3 linked regions of the Arabidopsis thaliana genome follow. The protein of the gene in region 1 binds, or shares a complex with, the protein of each later gene. Each region holds a gene or a part of one and is shown on either strand. Other genes may lie near its edges.

Evidence for each region. Proteins that work in one complex are often made in the same cells at the same time.
Region 2: CDC48 (region 1) and KAPP share a complex: the UniProt entries of both Arabidopsis thaliana proteins name them as parts of the SERK1 signaling complex.
Region 3: CDC48 (region 1) and GRF7 share a complex: the UniProt entries of both Arabidopsis thaliana proteins name them as parts of the SERK1 signaling complex.

What each region holds. Positions count from the first base shown.
Region 1 is NC_003074.8:3,017,251-3,023,577, reverse strand, and holds CDC48 (cell division cycle 48), read right to left. Parts: upstream 4,330-6,327; 5' UTR 4,085-4,329; coding exon 4,056-4,084; intron 3,907-4,055; coding exon 3,744-3,906; intron 3,455-3,743; coding exon 3,226-3,454; intron 3,100-3,225; coding exon 2,333-3,099; intron 2,249-2,332; coding exon 2,027-2,248; intron 1,938-2,026; coding exon 1,866-1,937; intron 1,783-1,865; coding exon 1,138-1,782; intron 1,049-1,137; coding exon 746-1,048; 3' UTR 526-745; downstream 1-525. Other genes in the region: AT3G09850 (D111/G-patch domain-containing protein), read left to right, coding at 1-181; AT3G09830 (Protein kinase superfamily protein), read right to left, coding at 4,882-5,376, 5,457-5,579, 5,654-5,914, 6,002-6,327. UniProt on the Arabidopsis thaliana protein: Probably functions in cell division and growth processes. Interacts with certain SNAREs as part of specialized membrane fusion events where vesicles from the same organelle fuse (homotypic fusion).
Region 2 is NC_003076.8:6,486,337-6,493,948, reverse strand, and holds KAPP (kinase associated protein phosphatase), read right to left. Parts: upstream 5,631-7,612; 5' UTR 5,500-5,630; coding exon 5,356-5,499; intron 4,212-5,355; coding exon 4,022-4,211; intron 3,847-4,021; coding exon 3,646-3,846; intron 3,541-3,645; coding exon 3,365-3,540; intron 3,280-3,364; coding exon 3,121-3,279; intron 3,032-3,120; coding exon 2,888-3,031; intron 2,801-2,887; coding exon 2,739-2,800; intron 2,280-2,738; coding exon 2,141-2,279; intron 2,031-2,140; coding exon 1,936-2,030; intron 1,815-1,935; coding exon 1,785-1,814; intron 1,453-1,784; coding exon 1,337-1,452; intron 1,250-1,336; coding exon 1,117-1,249; intron 1,032-1,116; coding exon 977-1,031; intron 899-976; coding exon 767-898; 3' UTR 510-766; downstream 1-509. Other genes in the region: AT5G19270 (reverse transcriptase-like protein), read left to right, coding at 6,940-6,994, 7,290-7,612. UniProt on the Arabidopsis thaliana protein: Dephosphorylates the Ser/Thr receptor-like kinase RLK5. May function as a signaling component in a pathway involving RLK5. Binds and dephosphorylates CLAVATA1 (CLV1). Functions as a negative regulator of the CLV1 signaling in plant development.
Region 3 is NC_003074.8:525,784-530,087, forward strand, and holds GRF7 (general regulatory factor 7), read right to left. Parts: upstream 2,606-4,304; 5' UTR 2,475-2,605; exon of another isoform or gene 2,296-2,474; intron 2,161-2,295; 5' UTR 2,133-2,160; coding exon 1,656-2,132; intron 1,552-1,655; coding exon 1,429-1,551; intron 1,328-1,428; coding exon 1,211-1,327; intron 1,098-1,210; coding exon 1,017-1,097; 3' UTR 510-1,016; downstream 1-509. Other genes in the region: AT3G02530 (TCP-1/cpn60 chaperonin family protein), read right to left, coding at 3,023-3,098, 3,199-3,317, 3,413-3,520, 3,605-3,673, 3,777-3,871, 3,986-4,190. UniProt on the Arabidopsis thaliana protein: Is associated with a DNA binding complex that binds to the G box, a well-characterized cis-acting DNA regulatory element found in plant genes.

The DNA of each region.
Region 1 (6,327 bases):
AAGAATCAGGGACAAAAGATTGGGAGCCTTTGAGCAGCACACAACAGGCTTTGGGTCGAGGATGATGGCGAGAATGGGTTTCGTCGAAGGCTCGGGTCTGGGTAGAGAGTCACAAGGCATAGTCAATCCGCTGGTCGCTGTCAGACGTCCTAGAGCACGTGGAATAGGTGCTGAAGGCTAAACATTGAAGTATTTAACGGTCAATGTTTGAACAAGAACAGTAAGATATCGTTTTTAAGTATGTTCATCTTCAATCTTCAACATGTGGCCTTTGTTCAATTTATGTTTAAGACTTGGGAGCAGCTTTGTTGTTATCTTGACATCAATGTTGTTGACATAATAAAGCATCCTTTCTTTTGGCTTCTTTAACCACCATTGATGCAAAAAAAAATACATCCTCGGCTCCAAGATTCTATAAAAGAAAGTACCGATCTTAGAGCATTAACATTGATATGCGGAAATTGCTGATAAGTGGGAACATTTGTGATACTTACCACTTATAAAGCAATTACTTATCACTTGCAATCTTTTTAACTTACTTTATAATCCTTTATTTTTTCCATTTGTAATGAACGACCAAACAAGTATTGAAACGAAAATTAAGAACATTGATTAAAACCCAAACACAAGAGATTCGGATAACTTAAAAACACGAGGAAAGAATCAGTATCACTTTCCCCAGTAATCCAAAAGTAGAGAATTCGAGTTTTAAAACTTAAAAAAAAAAAGGATAAAGAAGTTATCACTAATTGTAGAGATCATCATCGTCCCCAGCAGCGGCTGCAGACGTGGCAAACGGATCTGCGACTCCAGTGGTGGCACCTGAACCAGCAGAATTCTCGAACCTGAACTCAGAACCGAACCCTCTAGACTGCTGCAACGTCTGAGCAAAGGCTTGGTACTTCCTGATGTCTGCATCACTCACACTCCTACGCGCATACTTCATCGACTCCTCAAAGTGTGCAGCTTTGATCTCTGATACTTCATCCACTCCATCTTCCTCCATTGCCTCTGGGTTCTCGCTCCTCCTCTTCTCCTTTTCAATGTCCTGAAACAAAAAAAAAACATGAGCTTCAGTTCAACGATTGGAGAGTATAACAATCTTTGGATAAAGAGCTTGGCGATGGGATCTCTAACCTTCTCAATGTTTTCTCTGATGGCGTACTTGCAAGCTCTCTGGCAAATCTCAGTGATATCAGCACCACTGAAACCCTGAGTGTATTTAGCAAGTGCACCGATGTCTACATCTTTAGCAATAGGAGATTTCCTCAAGGCGGCCTTGAAGATATTGAGACGGGAATCCTCATCTGGTAGTGGAATGTAAATGAGCTGGTCAAGCCTTCCAGGACGGAGAAGAGCTGAATCGATAATGTCAGGTCTGTTGGTAGCTCCGATGATGAAGACGGTTTTCTTGGCATTCATTCCGTCCATCTCAGTCAAAAGCTGGTTCAAGACTCTGTCCGCAGCACCACCTCCATCGCCACCACTTCCACCTCCTCTCTGAGTTGCAATGGAGTCGAGCTCATCAAAGAAAAGAACACATGGAGCGGATTGACGGGCCTTGTCGAAGATTTCACGAACATTTGCTTCACTCTCTCCAAACCACATTGTCAGAAGCTCGGGACCCTTGACACTGATGAAATTAGCTTGGCACTCGTTGGCAATAGCTTTGGCCAAAAGGGTTTTCCCACATCCAGGAGGACCGTAGAAAAGGACTCCCTTTGATGGAGACATCCCGAATTTCTCAAACTTCTCTGGGTGCTCGACTGGGTATTGAACAGTCTGCATTTGAACAATCACACGGCTCAGGTTACAAATTACAATTAATAGACAGACCCAAGCAAAAGTAAATATTAGCAATTTACCTCCTGGAGCTCTCTCTTGACATTCTCAAGACCTCCAATATCATTCCAAGAGACGTTGGGAACCTCCACAACCTGCAAAGCAAAGAAGAAAATTTGGAATGAGATTTACGCAAAGATACAATCTTTGATCTCGTTCTAAGCAGAGTACTGTCAATACTCACAGTTTCACGAAGTGCAGATGGGTTGCTGTTCCCGAGAGCAGTGTGGAAATGTTCATTAGTGACTGCCATGGAATTGAGGATTTCAGCGTCTATGGAGTCATCTTCCAGATCAATCACATCCATCTTCTCCCTGATGCATTGCAGGGCGGCCTCTGTGCACAAAGCTGCAAGATCAGCACCGACGTAACCGTGTGTGTCCTTTGAGATCCTTTCGAGATCCACCTGGAAAACAACCACAAGAAGAATTTAGCATTCAATAAACATTACACTCAACAAACACAGAAAAAGCTATGACTAGAAAATTACATCTTCAGCCAGCTTCATGTTCTTTGTATGGATCCTCAGAACTTCAAGACGTCCAATTTCGTCAGGAACTCCAATATCGATCTCCCTGTCAAATCTTCCAAACCTTCTCAAAGCTGGGTCGATACTGTTGGGGCGATTGGTTGCTCCCATGACGATAACATGAGCACGAGATTTCAGTCCATCCATTAGCGTAAGGAGCTGAGAGACAATCCTCCTCTCAACCTCTCCATTAGTCTTCTCTCTTTTCGGTGCAATAGAGTCGATCTCATCAATGAATATGATTGAAGGCGCATTTTTCTCAGCCTCCTCGAATGCTTTCCTGAGGTTGCTCTCACTCTCACCAGCCAATTTGGACATGATCTCAGGTCCGTTGATACAGAAGAAAAAGGCACCCGTTTCATTAGCCACAGCACGAGCGATCAAAGTCTTTCCAGACCCAGGTGGTCCATAAAGAAGAATTCCCTTCGGTGGCTTAACACCAATCGACTTGAATAGCTGTGGATGCCTCAAGGGAAGTTCAACAAGTTCCCTAATCTGAGCCATCTGTTTCCTGACACCACCAACATCATCATAACCTACATCATCTAGCCTTTCTTCATCCTCTCTCTTCACAGGCTCACCCTCACAGAAAATCTCTGTGTCTGGAGCAACCACGCAGTACTCAGCAGGATCTGTCTCTATAACTTTGAACTCCACACTCCTCATTCCTCCTCTGACTAGGAAGAGATCACCCTTCCTCACTGGACGGTATGCCTCAAGGAAATAAGCTGTTGAAAAGAATTCAATCTTTGTTAAGAAATCACTCTAATAATATCTCAAACCAAACAAGAACATCCAAAGAAAAATCAAAATTGCATAACTGGATAAGGATCTAAAACAAAAAGGCAACTTACGTTTCAGGTAAGCATCAAATAGGTTTCCAGTCACTCCTTCAACAGTATCATCAACAGGCAGGATGTGAACACGCTTTCCGTACTTGACGTCTGGGCATTGGTGAACAGATATAACATCTCCCAGTCTAACCCTCAAGTTAGATCTGACTACTTTATTCATTCTGATCTTTGGCTCCTCACATGTCTCATCAGCAAGAGCAATGCAGACAGTGTCCTTCCTCTTCTTACCCTGAAAGCCAAAATCCAAACCAAATAAGAACTCATAAAGACTACTAATACGAATCATTCACCAAGACAGGATCAGTACAAAAGCAAGTCTTTTTATTTTGTATAATACCTAAGATCATAAATCACTTGTTTCAAAAGACCACAAACCCTAGTTTATGTAGAACCACATAAGAATCCATTAATCAAGCAAGGAGAAAAAACCCTAAATTATGTCTCTTCATAGAGACAGAAACCAACCATTCAATATCTCAATCAAAAGAGAATCCAAACAAACAAAAGCAAACCCAAACCTTGATGAGAATGGTATCACCACGGAAGAGCTGAAGCTTCTCCATGGTTGCAGGGTGAAGAGAGACGACGGAGTTATCATCGTTGATAGCCTCATCGACGACGAGACGGTTCGGAGACTTCTTCCTCTCGAGAATAGCAGTACTGAAATCTTTCTTCGATTTCCTGTAACAACAACAAAGAAGATTAAGATTCAACTATAGAAACACAAGATCAACCAAAACCCTAATCCCCAAAATCGAAAAACCCAGACTTTAAGAAGATCCGAAAAAAATCCCGATCGGAAAACCAAAATCAGAGATCTGGGTACTTACGAGTCTGAAGATTCAGCTGGGGTAGACATGATTGAGTTTGAGATTAACGAAAGAGTTCCCTGAGAAATCGAAGAAAGTTGAGAGCTTTTTCTTCTTCTTTGGTTTCTTCTCTGAGAGAGAGAGAGAGATGGATTTGTGATAATGGGATCTGAAAGAGCACAGATTTTCTCTAATTATATCTCTCTACGTTTCTTGTTGGAAAAGAGAGCTCTTTTTTTTTCCTTTATTCTTATTTTCCTTTTTGTTTCTTATCTTCTAGTAATATCAAACCGACCCCTATTGTTTTACTTTTCCCAAATATTCACCCTATTTATGTTATGTGATTAGAATTCTAGAAACTTCTTTTTCGTTCAATTTTTTCCTCCATTCCACAAGCAATATCAATTTCCTACCTATCGACTAATATTCTTTTTCCAACTACTTCTCCCAAATTTCAGTAGTCCTCCAGACCTTAAAGCCCATAATTATTTTCATTTTATTTATGTTTGTGATTTACTTATGGTAATTAATAGGAACTCTTAACACATTACCACAAATATACACTTAAGCACGAGTAGATTGATCAGCTTTGGAACAAAACTCTGATAAGCCGTTCTTGCTTAATATACATATCTTACTAATTTAGCTGTGGTTACTATTCATAAGTTCATACAAAAATCATATTTCATCATTTTAGAATCTTTCACAAATCTTCATATATAATTATCTTTATGTATGTATATGAGCTTCATCTTGATCTCGCTAGAATCTTCAACCTTCGGAATCTCCATGAAACCTTTCTTGACTCTTTTTTTTGCTGTAAGAAGAGGTTGAATTCTATAAGCAGTCAACAAGCTCTTATTGTCTTTGGATTCCATAACTTGCCAAACCAACCTCCTTCACCGCCACCACCATTGTTCTTTCCTCTCGCGTCTCTCGAAGCTTTTACACTGTTCAGCGGAACTAGCTGTGGGCTGCCATTTCCTGAAGAAGCTTCCACAATTTTGTTCACCATCTCTAAAACCTCACTCATCTTGGGACGTGCCTTTGAGTTCCTAACCAAACATCTGTTGGCCACAACTGCTAGCTTTTGAACCGATTTGATCGGGTACTTCCCTTCCAGCCTTGGATCTAATATGAGCTTGAACTTCCTTGTGTCAGATAAATAAGGTCTCACCCATTCTAGAAGCTTCTGCTCTCCCTTGGGTCTGTTTCTGTCCACCGGTCGCCTCCCAGTGATAAGCTCATAGAGGAAGACTCCATAACCCCACACATCGCTTTTCGATGTGAGACGGCCGGTTTGAATGTATTCAGGTGCTGCATAACCCATTGTACCTACAACCTAATAAAGCCAAAGAAACCCGTTCAAAAACATACCTGTTTTTCAATCTTGCAACCAAAAGAAGTGAATGCAGAACTTACATCAGTAGAAACATGGGTTAATCCTTCAGATGGACCTAAACGAGCCAAACCGAAATCTGAGAGCTTTGCTTTCCAGTCCTCATCCAAAAGAATGTTCGAGGACTTGAAATCGCGGAATATTATCTGAAAAGCCAATAAATAAAAGTTAGTCAAGAGAGTGAAATGAGATCAGTAACGTAGCAGAGTCATCATATTACCTGAAACTCCATTTCTTCATGCAGGTATGTTAATCCGCGAGCTGCATCTTGGGCGATTCTCAGTCTGAGGTCCCAAGTAAGAACTGTGAGTGACCGAGGGGATAAGTGGAATTCAACACTTCGGTTAGGCATGTATTCATAAACCAAAAGCCGTTGGATTCCACGTTCATCATCTTCTGCACAATAGCCAAGCAATTTCACCAAGTTTGTATGCTCAACTATTCCGAGGAAGTTCACTTCCGTAACCCATTCCTTATGCCCCTGCAACATCCAAGAAATGAGATAATAGTGTTAAACCAGTGGATGAGTAACAGATCTTGAGAACAAGATTGGAAAAAACAGACATACCTGCAACCCTCTTTTACCGAGCTGCTTCACTGCGACTTCGATTTTAACTGACGAGTCCTCTAAGTTCCTCACTGTGCCCCTGAAGACACAACCGAAACCGCCTTCTCCAATCATAACAGATCGGCTAAAGTTCTTTGTTGCAGACTTGAGATCAGTAATGCTGAACTCTCTGAGATTACTTGCTCTAGTAGACACCGGAGGGTACGAGTTCTTCCTCCCCATGGATGATTCTGTGCTCGTCCCAGAGACATCACGAGAGTTGAACTCTGACCCGCTTCGGTTTATTTCGCGGTCAGAGAAGATAGAGGTCAATGAAACCGAAATAG
Region 2 (7,612 bases), on another chromosome or scaffold:
CCTGATTTTTGGGCCCGCTTTGTTTTCAATTTCAAATCTTTTTGGGGTTCTGTTTTTCTTAATTTGTTTTAGTACGATGCAAAAGGTTGAACAACAACTCCAATTTTTAAAACGGAAGTTAAACTAAAATTTATTGAGTCAAAACTCAGATTAGGTAGTAAGATTACTTGAGGAAAGAATCCCAAAATCTCTTGAAATTCTTGACTGTTGACTATTTTGGTTCATTCCATATATATCAGTCAAAATTGTATACGTGTTCATTCCGAAAATAGGCAGATTTTTATTACAAAATCTGTGATTTTCTTTCTACTTCTAACCGAACAACAGTCAAAATAGTATTATTTTGGTGCCTGCGTACACATCGTAAAAAGAACAAAACTGAAATAGCTGGAACAAAACTGAACCGAAACTCTAGAATAACCGTATTGATACTAAAATCAAAAACCAAAATCGAAATCCAAAAGTACCAATGAATACTCAGAATTACGGACTCCATAGTCCATACTAAACTGATAAGTTGTATTGTCTGATGAAATTCATTCTCACCAAAGAATAAAATACGAAACAGAAACTTTAACTGATAATATTATTAATTATATAAGTAAAGATAATGAAACCAATGTCGCTCACCAAGACGATCCATCCTAAATCTCTGCATCTGAGGTTTTTTTGTCTCTCTTATACCCTAACAAAAATACTAATACATAAAAAGATGGTACACAAAAGAAAGACACTTCCCAAATATCTTAAAAGATGTTTCCTAACATTACAGGGAAGTATCGAAATCTAAGTAAATAATGGAGGTGTTGTCCTTTGTACGCATCGCTCTAGCTTCATTCAGCAGACCGTTTGCTATCTTCTCCGCACTACTCTCTCTCCCTCTCTCTTTATCTCTCATCTGCCATAACATAAACATTACATGAGATCGACGTTTTCAGACATAGCAAATGTCTCAACGAGTAGAAATTGATTTTACCTGAAGTACAAGCTGCACAGCTTTCTTCGGACTTACCACGTCCCATAACCCGTCACTGCAGTATTCGGATTTCAAAAATTAGCGAGCAAGAATCAGAAAACGGGAAAAAGCTTATTATGTTTATGTTTATGTTTTTTTACCTAGCCAATACAGCAAATACGTCTTTACTAGATTGATCGATACGCAAAGGCTCACTTATATATGGCTCTGCACTGAAACGGCTGTCTTGTTGCTTTGGAAACTTGTCTCCAAGCATCCTCGCAAGGTTTATACCTGAAGAAAATTATCACATCAGATTTGGTCATTTTGTTACAAAGAAGTTGCAATCACCTGAGCGTGTTTAATTCATTGAGCTAATACCAAAAAGCCGAGTCTCTCCATCTCTCAAGGCTAGTCCTGCTTCTTGGAATCGTTTTCTCTCGCTCAAGCTAACCACTCGATGATCTTCAGTCATTTGTATATATCTGCCACCAAGACTGCCAAATGCAAACCAAATCGTAATCAGTTAAGAAAGTCGAAGTTACTATTATAATGCCGAGACCATTAATTCCTAAGAGCAAAACAACTATCAGAATTTTTTATTATTAATTAAGATCCGTATCAAGGAAGATGTAGGGATAAACTCTCTTTCTATTTCCACAAAGCAAAGCAACGACATTCAAATATTCTTTTTCTTATCCAAAAAAATTCTACTCCGACGTGAAACAATCTCATCTATTGATGTCTATTTACTCTACTATAAAGCCTATATTAGTAATCATCTACTGTTTCCAAACCAAGAGGTTTTCATTAAGAAGACCACACTCACTCACGCTTTAAACACGCAAGATCTTTGTTTCTAATCTGAGTAATCAAGTCCCCTCCCTCTTTCTACACCAAGAAATGCTGCTACAAGTCTGGTTAATGCAAGCTCAGCAACTACGAATCTCAAGAATAGCAATATAATATTTTTTACGTACTGGATAACACATGCTGAATCCCCAAGATTGGCACATTGTGCGAAGAAGTTTTCTTCATTGTCTTTCCAAACCAAGAGAACAGTAGCTGTACAACCCTGCATCGATCAACTAATTCATTAAGTAGGAAGCAATGAAAAAGTTCCAGCCAAGTCGTCAAGAAGGCAAACATGCCATCAAAGGAAAAGAAAAGGACAAACTGAAATACCTCATATTGGTGTTCTTCGAGGCGAGCTTCTGTTTTAGCAAACATGTCCCTAAGGACGTCCGAAGCATCCCTTTTTGATAACACTTTCTCCTTCCTCAGCGAGTCTGATAAAATATTCGCTAGAACCTCCGGAATAATTCTGGAGAAGAAGTTTAATTAGCTTATATATTCAAGTATATAATTGCCGTTGTTGGAGACACAAGTAAATCAAAGATGCTCCAGTAGTTAGTGAAGGCTCCTAACATATAATGACTAAGCCCATTTACAAAAATGAACAGAACAAAGTTTCATATATTTGTTCCCGGCTGTAACCACGCCTGCCCTAACTGTAACACATTTGCATGGCTAATCACATGCAGCTAAAAATTTTAAACTACATAAGAAGTTGATTAATAAATGAAGCAAAAACAATAAAGAAAAACTCAGAAAGGCGGATGCTGTTAGAAGTTTAAACACAGCCAAAACCGCAGCCTTTTTCAGGTTAGGACATTTCGTAGGTTAAGCATACAAAGAAAACCCAAAATAAGACCTATCGAGGAGGATTTTATAAAAGAAATAGTTAATAGAGGTGATTTGGATTTTTTTAAGAAAGACTCACTTGATTGCGGATTGAGCAGCCCCTGATCCCCCATGTCCATCACAAACACAAAACAGTCCAAACTGAAACCATATACATTTGGAATTATGTTATCAAAAGCAGCGAAGCCCATCATCATACATACAACTCAAATCACTAATCAAGGTAACCTTATTAGCCCCAGGAAGCGGCCACTTGTAATGACAAACATCTTCCATCGGAAGTTTCCTGCCTCCTCGACGCATAGCCATGGGATCTGAGGCCACACCAATTTTGAAGGGTATCTGAAACTCATTCTGAGAGGAGATACGGACCTTCCAAAGATGAAAAGAAATTGCATGAAATTAACAAGGGAAACAAAAAAAATTACCAGCAAGCACCTTCACCACTCAGATTGACTTACATAGACCTTTGTTGTTGTTCCCAAAGTTATTATATCATCACTTGCAAGCTCGACAGGGTTACCCCACTTCCGGCTGCCTAAATCAGGATGACTTATTGAATGAGAGTTTACGAGAGTTCCATTTAGGCTACCCATATCTACCAGCTCCCATTTAAATTTCTGAAATCAAAACCAGGCAGGTGTGACGCACAGTGTAAGAAGTGGCATGCAGAAGTCGTATAAATAAATCTACATAGCTCCTTACAGTAGAGTTCCATGTTATCTGTGCATGTTTCCCAGAGACTTCTGAGTCCTTCAATGCCAAATCAGAAGGAGAAACCCTTCCAAGTTTCACTGGCAGCTTGGAGGAACTTGTGGAGTTCACAGCATGTTGAAGCCCAATGGCAGGACCCGCGATGACTTCCAGGAACAGCCAACTTCCTGCACTTCTAACACAAAATATGATATATGTCTTGCACAAGTAATTCAAAAAATGGATTGAAGTTGTATTACACACCCTAGGCAAGCAAAAGAATAAGAAATTACTTTGATCTTCCACGAGCCTCGGAGAAAGATTAATAAGTCGATCCTTTTCCAGATTATATTGCAAGTTTTCATTTCTGTTATTCTGCCAGTCATATGTTTGCACTTCTGCCAAGGAACCTTTTTCAGCTGGAAGTTTAAGCGTTTGGCCCACCAAAGCATTGTCAGAAGGTTCAGAAATTACTTCTAGAACAAAGCTTTCACCTACATAAGTTAGGGCAGATTGGTAAGGTCAAGAATGAGTGATGCATAGAGTTCATAATGCAAAGAGGATGTTTCTGATACAACTGTATCATTTCCATCACGCTAATGATCTAGAGTCAATCCAACTTGTCTACCAGAGCTGGACATAGCAGGGGAGGAAAGAGGCAATGAGTACCTTGGGAGAAATGGGGAGATGACGAAGGAAGCCTTTGTTTGTAAAACCGTCCCTCAGTCAGAGATGAATGCAAAAGTCCATCATTTTGGTAGCAAGCTCCCTCTAAATCATATTCCCTTGTTACCTCACTGGTTTGTCCTTGGATCAAATTTCCATCATCAGAAATAAGTGGTCTCTGCAAATCCCCCACCTGCAAACAATGGCGCTGAAAGAATTAGGGCTAGGAGCAAAAAAAAAGTTGCGTAAACTGGATACTCAATAGCTGAAAGATGAGAAACTCAATATTTCCCTATATGAAGAATGTAGTAATAATAAGGTGGATTTAGTTCTTATACAATTTTAGTATGTTATCCAAGTTATGGAGAAATTGCAAACAAATGAAATCTACAAGCGAAAAGACTAGATGGATGAGCTGTATCCTATTTCCAGTGAGAGTAAAACCGCCTATTAGATTAGTAAGGAGTAGAGTATAACAGAGCTAGGAAATGAATGAACAGCTGATTTCACCTTTTTCATTCATTTGTTACCATTTCTCCGGTAGAAAGACAAAAATACAAAAAAAACAAAACTCACAGAATTCCTACAAAAAGGTAACTAATGAGGAAGAAGTTCTCCCACGATAATTTCCCACACTGAAACTGAGTTCTTGGCAACATTCACATTGCCTAATATATAAGCACCAATGTCCAAATTCAGAAACAAATCGACAGTTTTCGCAAGCAAATTCACAAGAGTTCCCTACTTCCAATGTCTGTCTAAGTGCACATCAACAGTTTGAGCCGTTGAAAATGTCAATTAGCCATGGCTAGAGAAGAAGAAGAAAACATAGCACACAAAAGAAGCTGAAACGGCCATTACGCTTTATTCAAACAAAACCATTTTGTGCAAATCGAGCAGGCAGAGAAAATCCAGCCACACTCATTATAAACCAAACGAATCTATCAACTCTTGAGCTTCAAAAGAATCTAACAACAACAAAAGAATCCTAATTTTTCAACAGTGAGAAAACTCAACAACACATTATCATCTCCAAAAAGTCAATCAGATTATTTCAGAAACCAAACACACAATATATATCTCACCGCCCCCACGTCGACAAAATCAATCAACGAAATCGCCAAATAACCCCAACTACTATCGGAATCCACGAGAAAAGCATCATGATCCAGCGACGTAACACTTGTCACTGATGATCAAATCCTTTATCAATTGATCATTTCGCGAAAACAAACCATCCGACATAAAATCGAATCAAAAATCAAAAAACGAAGCCGTGGAACGAAGACTCTGAAAATTGAATAGAGAATGAGATAAGAGGAAGAGGAAGAAGAAACCTTGAAGGTAGAAGAAAAACGAGAGGAGGATCGGAAACGAGAAAAATATCGCCATGGCTTGCAGGCGAAAAGGATGATGAGGGAGATGAGAAGCAACATAAGAACCATGAATAGCCCAATAATGTTCATCCCTATCATCGCCATCGTCTTCGCTTCTCTCTCTCTCTCTCTCTCTCTGCACCCCTCCTCCTTCCAGATTGGTTCCCGAGAACCTCGCTTTGAATTTTTCTTACCTTCTCTGTTTTTTTTTTTTCTTTCTCTTATCGTATTTTCACTGTCTTTTTATTTTCACTGGTCGATAGACTCTAAGAGTACATTATCCCTAACGCTTTACATGATTGGCTAGGGTTGGATTAAGCTATATAATTATCACCTCCACGAGTTACTATTGGTTAATATGTGGATTACGCTATAGATTATGAGATTTTTTTTGTTTTTTACACTTGATTTATGGTTTTAATTTTTTGAAAAAAAACAAATTAAATAGATTAGAATTATCAAGAATCTTGTAAAGAAAAAGGTTATGTTTTTGAAGACTTAAGTGATATGTAGATATGATTCTAGAAATCTCATTGTTAATGAAAAGTTTTTCGATCGAGATGACTTATTTATGTTTAGATGTATTTCGAGTAACATCTAGAAAAATTGGTATAATATAGAGGTACAAAAATAACGATGGTAACGTTTTGGCATTGTTAATCTTACCGCCTTATGTATTTGGTAACAAAAAATATCCGATTATTTTTTATCATTGCAATATATGATTGCTAATCAAAAGCAGGAATTGGATAAGAGAAATAACAGTATACTTCTTACCATTGCGATATATGATTATTAATCAAAAGCTTACTGCTTTTTGTAGGGTAACAGAAATAACGGAATAGTACTTCTTACCGTTGTGATAAATGATTACTAATCAAAATAAATTAGTTAGCACAAAAAATAACAAAATGTAATCCCTAATGCAGTAAAATTTAAACATGAATGTATAATGCATTCTAATATACCAATCGTAAATATCAGTCTTGTGCTCTTCTCTTTTATGCAACAGACAAGCACACACACGCACACAAGTCATTTTCCTAAAATCTTGTAAAACATAGTAATCAAAAATGTCTATGTGAGTATAAAACATGTTACAGTTACCTTTATTCTTGAATCAGAGAGAACTTCCATTTTCTTTTGTTTTATCAACAAATGCAACTACTCCATTTTTAAAGTCCCATATGAATTTATAATACCAATATGCATACAATTATGCATACACGAGATGGAAATTACATAAATGATACTTACTAATCAACTTTCAATATATTATCCATTTGGTAACGTTTTTATTTTTTATTGACTATGCTTTAAATGTGGTAAACATATACGAATATATAATTTGGTAACATAATAATAGTCTTCATTCACTACCTTCTCAATTTTGTGTATTTAAGAACTCTCAATTTGTTTTTTGTTTTTTATGGTTGTTCAAAGACAACAATTGGTAAAGCATATATATAAGAAAATTTGTTGTTAGAATCTTTCAGTTGGTTAACAAAACGGCCGGTCAGACCTTTAAACAAGGTTCAAGAGACGATGCTATTGTCTACTTCTCAAGTCATGATTGCTCATCACAGAGGACACATAAATCGTAACTGAACCTTCTCTCTTTGATATATCAATTTAAATCTATATGGTTCTTGTCAATTTTGTGTTTAACACTCTTGTGAGTTTTTAACTTTTGTATGGCTAATGAGTTTTGTAATCTTTTTAATTTGATGTCGTTGTCCTTTTATCATAAACTATACAATTAGCCTAATGTCTAACGTTTGTTTTTAAAAAGACGATAGCTAGAATTTTGCAATTTTTCTTGTAACTTGTATCTAACTAATAATTCAGAAATTTTATCTTTAATTTGTTTAATAAAAATGATAAATTGCTTGCAGGTAGACATGTGGATTTGAGTGTACAAGGATCCATAGGGGTTGAAGAAGAGGAACGGTGGCTTAATGCGCGACAGATAGATACATATGGCGCATGCTTTGTTCGGGGGACGAGCTTGGATCTTAACTGGACTCCTCCAGACTTTGGAATTGTTAAGTGTAATGTGAATGCTCATTGGGGAAATGCTGACATGATGAGTGGGGTAGCTTGGATTGCTCGTGATGTTAATGGTTTGGCTCTATACCATGCAAGAGATGCTTTTACAAGGTCTTCAAATAGGATCATGGCCGAGTTGCGTTGTATCTTGTGGGTGGTTAAAAGCTTA
Region 3 (4,304 bases), 2.5 Mb from region 1:
CTTTAGATTTGTCACAATTTTGCATCCATCGAGCCGGTTGAAACGCAATAGCTCTGGGATTTCGGATCTGTACCGGTTTGGGAAGGAAGGGTTACCGTCCAGTGTATCGGATTGCTTCTTCAGAATCCGGTGCCGTCGATGTGCTTGTTGGGGAGACTAGCTTTCTGGGAGTCTTGTGGTGGGTTGGTGCGCCGGTGGGGTTGATTCGAGGACGAAAACCGGTCTCTTTCGTCGGAGTTTCTCGAGCATCGGTTGCGGCCTCGAAACTGTAGGGCTTGAGCCCGCCGGATCTAATGCTCCGGTCTCTCTGCTAGCTTCCATCAACAAGCGGCGATCTTCCTTCTTTGCCGACATGTTTTCCGATTTGCTAATTTTGTAACTGGATTTGATGTTGTTTTTGTTGCGGCCCAAGGTCATTTGGGATGAGGATTAATAATATTTAAAAAAAAAAAAAAAAAAAAAAAAAAAAAAACCCTAGTCTGAAGTACAAAGTAAATCCATACTATTAGTCCCTATTGATCAGAATGTAATCCATGTCCCAATAGCATTACCGCCCGGAGGCGCATCATCAGAAAGGCTCAATATCCCCGGCTTTCGTTGTTCCGGTCTTAAACCAAAAGCGGACCATATATCCGACTGACCCGACCAATGATACAAGATTGAAGATTCTTTAAAAATGGGTTAACACAAATTCTGTTGCGTTAAGCAAAAATCAGAATACCCTAATAAGAACTAAGTAAATAATACACTGATTATGATAATTTATGACGAGTTGAATGGAAAGCAATAATTCAAAGTTTTGTTTCTTCACTTCCTAAATACTAACAAGCAACGAAGCAGGAACCAAAGACTCAAACAGCTTTAATAACCCAATAAAAAAAAAAGGGAACAGAGATTTTTGGAGAAAATCAAATAAAGATCTTTCTCTCTGCTTCTACAAATCCCCTAATCATATCATATGTTTTTGGAAAATCCATACCATACATACTTAGAAATGTCTCTCCCTCTCTCTCTGGTCACTGCCCTGTCTCAGCTGGTTTCCCCTCTTCCGGCTCATGTTTTGACGCCTCCTTGATCTCATCACCGCCCGCCTCATCCTAAAAATCAGCAACACAATCAGCGTTTGAGAGAAATTTCTGAGTAAAAGAAGCTTAGACTGCATATATAAGAGTTTATAGGGAAAAGCAAAAGGAGGAAGACAAAGGTGTACATTGATGTCAGAGTTCCAAAGGGTCAGATTGTCACGGAGAAGTTGCATTATCAACGTACTGTCTTTGTATGATTCTTCTCCTAATGTATCCAGCTCAGAAATGGCCTCATCAAAAGCCTGTCAAAACAATTGAGAGAATATCATTAAGCAATTTGGTGCTGGAATAAGTGTTACAAAGTCTGGAAGCATCATAACATCCCGTATGACAAAATACAAACCTGTTTTGCGAGACTGCAGGCACGATCAGGTGAGTTGAGAATCTCGTAGTAGAAGACAGAGAAGTTAAGAGCAAGTCCCAGTCTAATCGGATGAGTAGGAGCTAAATCAGCAAGTGCAATATCCTACATTAGAAGAAAAACACACATAAGCATTCATCATGACAGCTCCTTTACTGGTCTCAAGCAGCAAAATAAGATAGATAGATGTTGAAACTTAAAGAGTTTACCTGAGCTGACTTGTAAGCAACCAGAGTGCTCTCAGCAGCTTCTTTCCTCTCAGCTCCAGTCTTAAACTCAGCAAGGTACCTGTGGTAATCTCCTTTCATTTTGAGGTAAAAGACTTTGGACTCGGCCAAAGATGCAGTGGGAACAAGGTGAGAATCCAGAAGATTGAGTATTCCATCACAGATTTTGCTGAGTTCAGTTTCGATCTTTCCTCTGTAGTCCTTGATAATGGAAACATGATCATCGTTTCCTCTGCTTTCTTCCTTCTGTTCAATGGAAGATATGATCCTCCAGGAAGCTCTCCTAGCACCAATGACGTTCTTGTAAGCAACAGACAAGAGGTTTCTCTCTTCGACAGTAAGCTCATCGGTGTCAACAGTCTTTGCAACTTTCTCCATGAACTCAACCATTTCCTCATAACGTTCAGCTTGCTCAGCTAACTTGGCTAAGTACACATTCTCTTCCCGAGAAGACGACATCTTATGTTATCACACACTCTTTTAGATCCTGTTTTCAAAAATTCATTTCAAACTTCATCAACATCACAGTAGCTTGGCTATATCAACATTATTCCCAACAAAACAAAAGAAACAACAGATAAATCGTCGAGACCAACAAATCAAGACAAAACGAACACTATACCGATAGATACACCTAGAAACCTAGAATCTATCAAAATCATTCGAGATTTTGCCAGATCTCCAGATAACAACGAACACAGAGAAGATTAAGTCCACAAAACGAAACGAAAACATGAACGAGCAACAGAGAGACGATTTCGTCGAACTATGAGCAAAAGAGAGACTAGATCCGTAGCTTACCGAGAGGATTTTGGAATTAGGGATTTGTCGAATTCGAAGGTCGAGACGCGAAATGAGGGGGAAGTGAGAAATTAGGGGAAAAAAAAGGAAGAAGAGATGGGCTTTGATTTTCAGAGAAAGTAAAGAGAAAAATAAGGCCCAGTAATAGTATGACAAGTGTCTAACGGTGTTGACCCGTTAAAGACTTTAATGATCGTGGAAAATAAATAATTTAATTGGGCCTTGACTCCGTTACTAGAAAAATAAAAATCAATTAAAGTATGCCGTGCATTGTTGTTGATTTGACTTTTAATTGCGTTTGTTTACACATAAATCTGGTTCCATTTTCTTAAAATTCTGAAATCTTTATCTTGTTCTGTTTTCGCTAGAAACCACAATCAAAACATTCATCATGTTTGTTTGATACAAAAGATAGAAAAAAAAGATACATTCAAAATTATCTAAGACAACAAAGGATAACGAGTAAAAAATAAATAGTATTCATATGCTAATACTCAAAACACGAAAGGGAAAGTAAGAAAAAATTGAAAACAAAAGATAGTCTTGTTTTAAGTAGGCTTCCTCATATTTCTTCCTGCACGAATCACTTCATCCACTAATAGCAACTGCGAAGCAATCACCGGCCTGCAATACAATACCAAACAACCGTTTTAACAACCTGAACTCAACCGCAACTGAATTAAAAGACTCCATTATACAAATTTCCATTTGGTTCTGCACATACCCTGAATTGATAAGTTGGCGTTTCACCGAGTAATTGTCGAAAATGCCGGCAAGCTGAGGGTCGACGGGTTCTCCATCCTGTAGGTCTAGTCCCACGATGTTTCCTTTGTCATGCTCACTCTGTATATACATCGAAACTCAGTAGATAAACACAAACATAATTTTACTTGGAGCATAATCGATAGTGGCAGAAGAGGAAAATACAAGAATAATACCGTTAGAGAAATGATAACGTCTTGAGTGTCAAGCCCAGCATTTTCAGCAAGCGTCTTAGGCACTACGAGAAGGGCATTAGCAAAAGCTTCAACACCGAGTTGAGCGCGCTGCAATTTGCCCACAATTTACATTAGCAACCGGAAAAAAACAAGAATTGGTATTGGAGCAAAGGAATATTGCTTTCTACTCACCCCTTGAACGGTTTTCTTGACTTCATTGATTAAGTGTTGTCTTGCTGCAACTTCAAAAGCTCCAGCTCCCTACAGAAAGAAACAGATGTCAATAAACCACATGCGCCCAAAACCAAAACAATCACACTGATATAGCAATGGATTTGATCTTTGTGGAGAAGAAGGTACTTACTAATACGACACACTCATCTTCTAGGGTATTCTTAACTGATCTTAAACCATCACGGACAGCGTCCTTAATTTGAGCAATAGTGTGGTCATTAGGCCCTATAAAGAAAACCAAATCATAATCATAGATAATCAATGACCACACATATGAAGATAAGCAAAATTGATCTTCAAAACTTAGCTGGCAAGAGATAGAAGTTTGGGCATTTGTACCTTTTATGAGGATAGTACATGAATGAGGATTCTTCACTTGCTCAACAAATGTGTACTTCTCCTCTCCAAGAACGTGCTCATATACAAGTCCAGCCCAACCAAGACAATCAGGGGTCAAGTCATCGACAGAGTTCACAGCTTCTCCACCACATGCCAAAACCAAACGTTCCATGTTCCTCCTCTTTGCCCTTCTAAGGGCGATTATCTGGAGATACATATATACATATATAAGGAACAGAAAGATAATTCTCTTGTAACAACTTGTAGACACAAGAAACAGAGCACAAGACAAAAAAAAACAAGCTTGGTGGAAGATCCA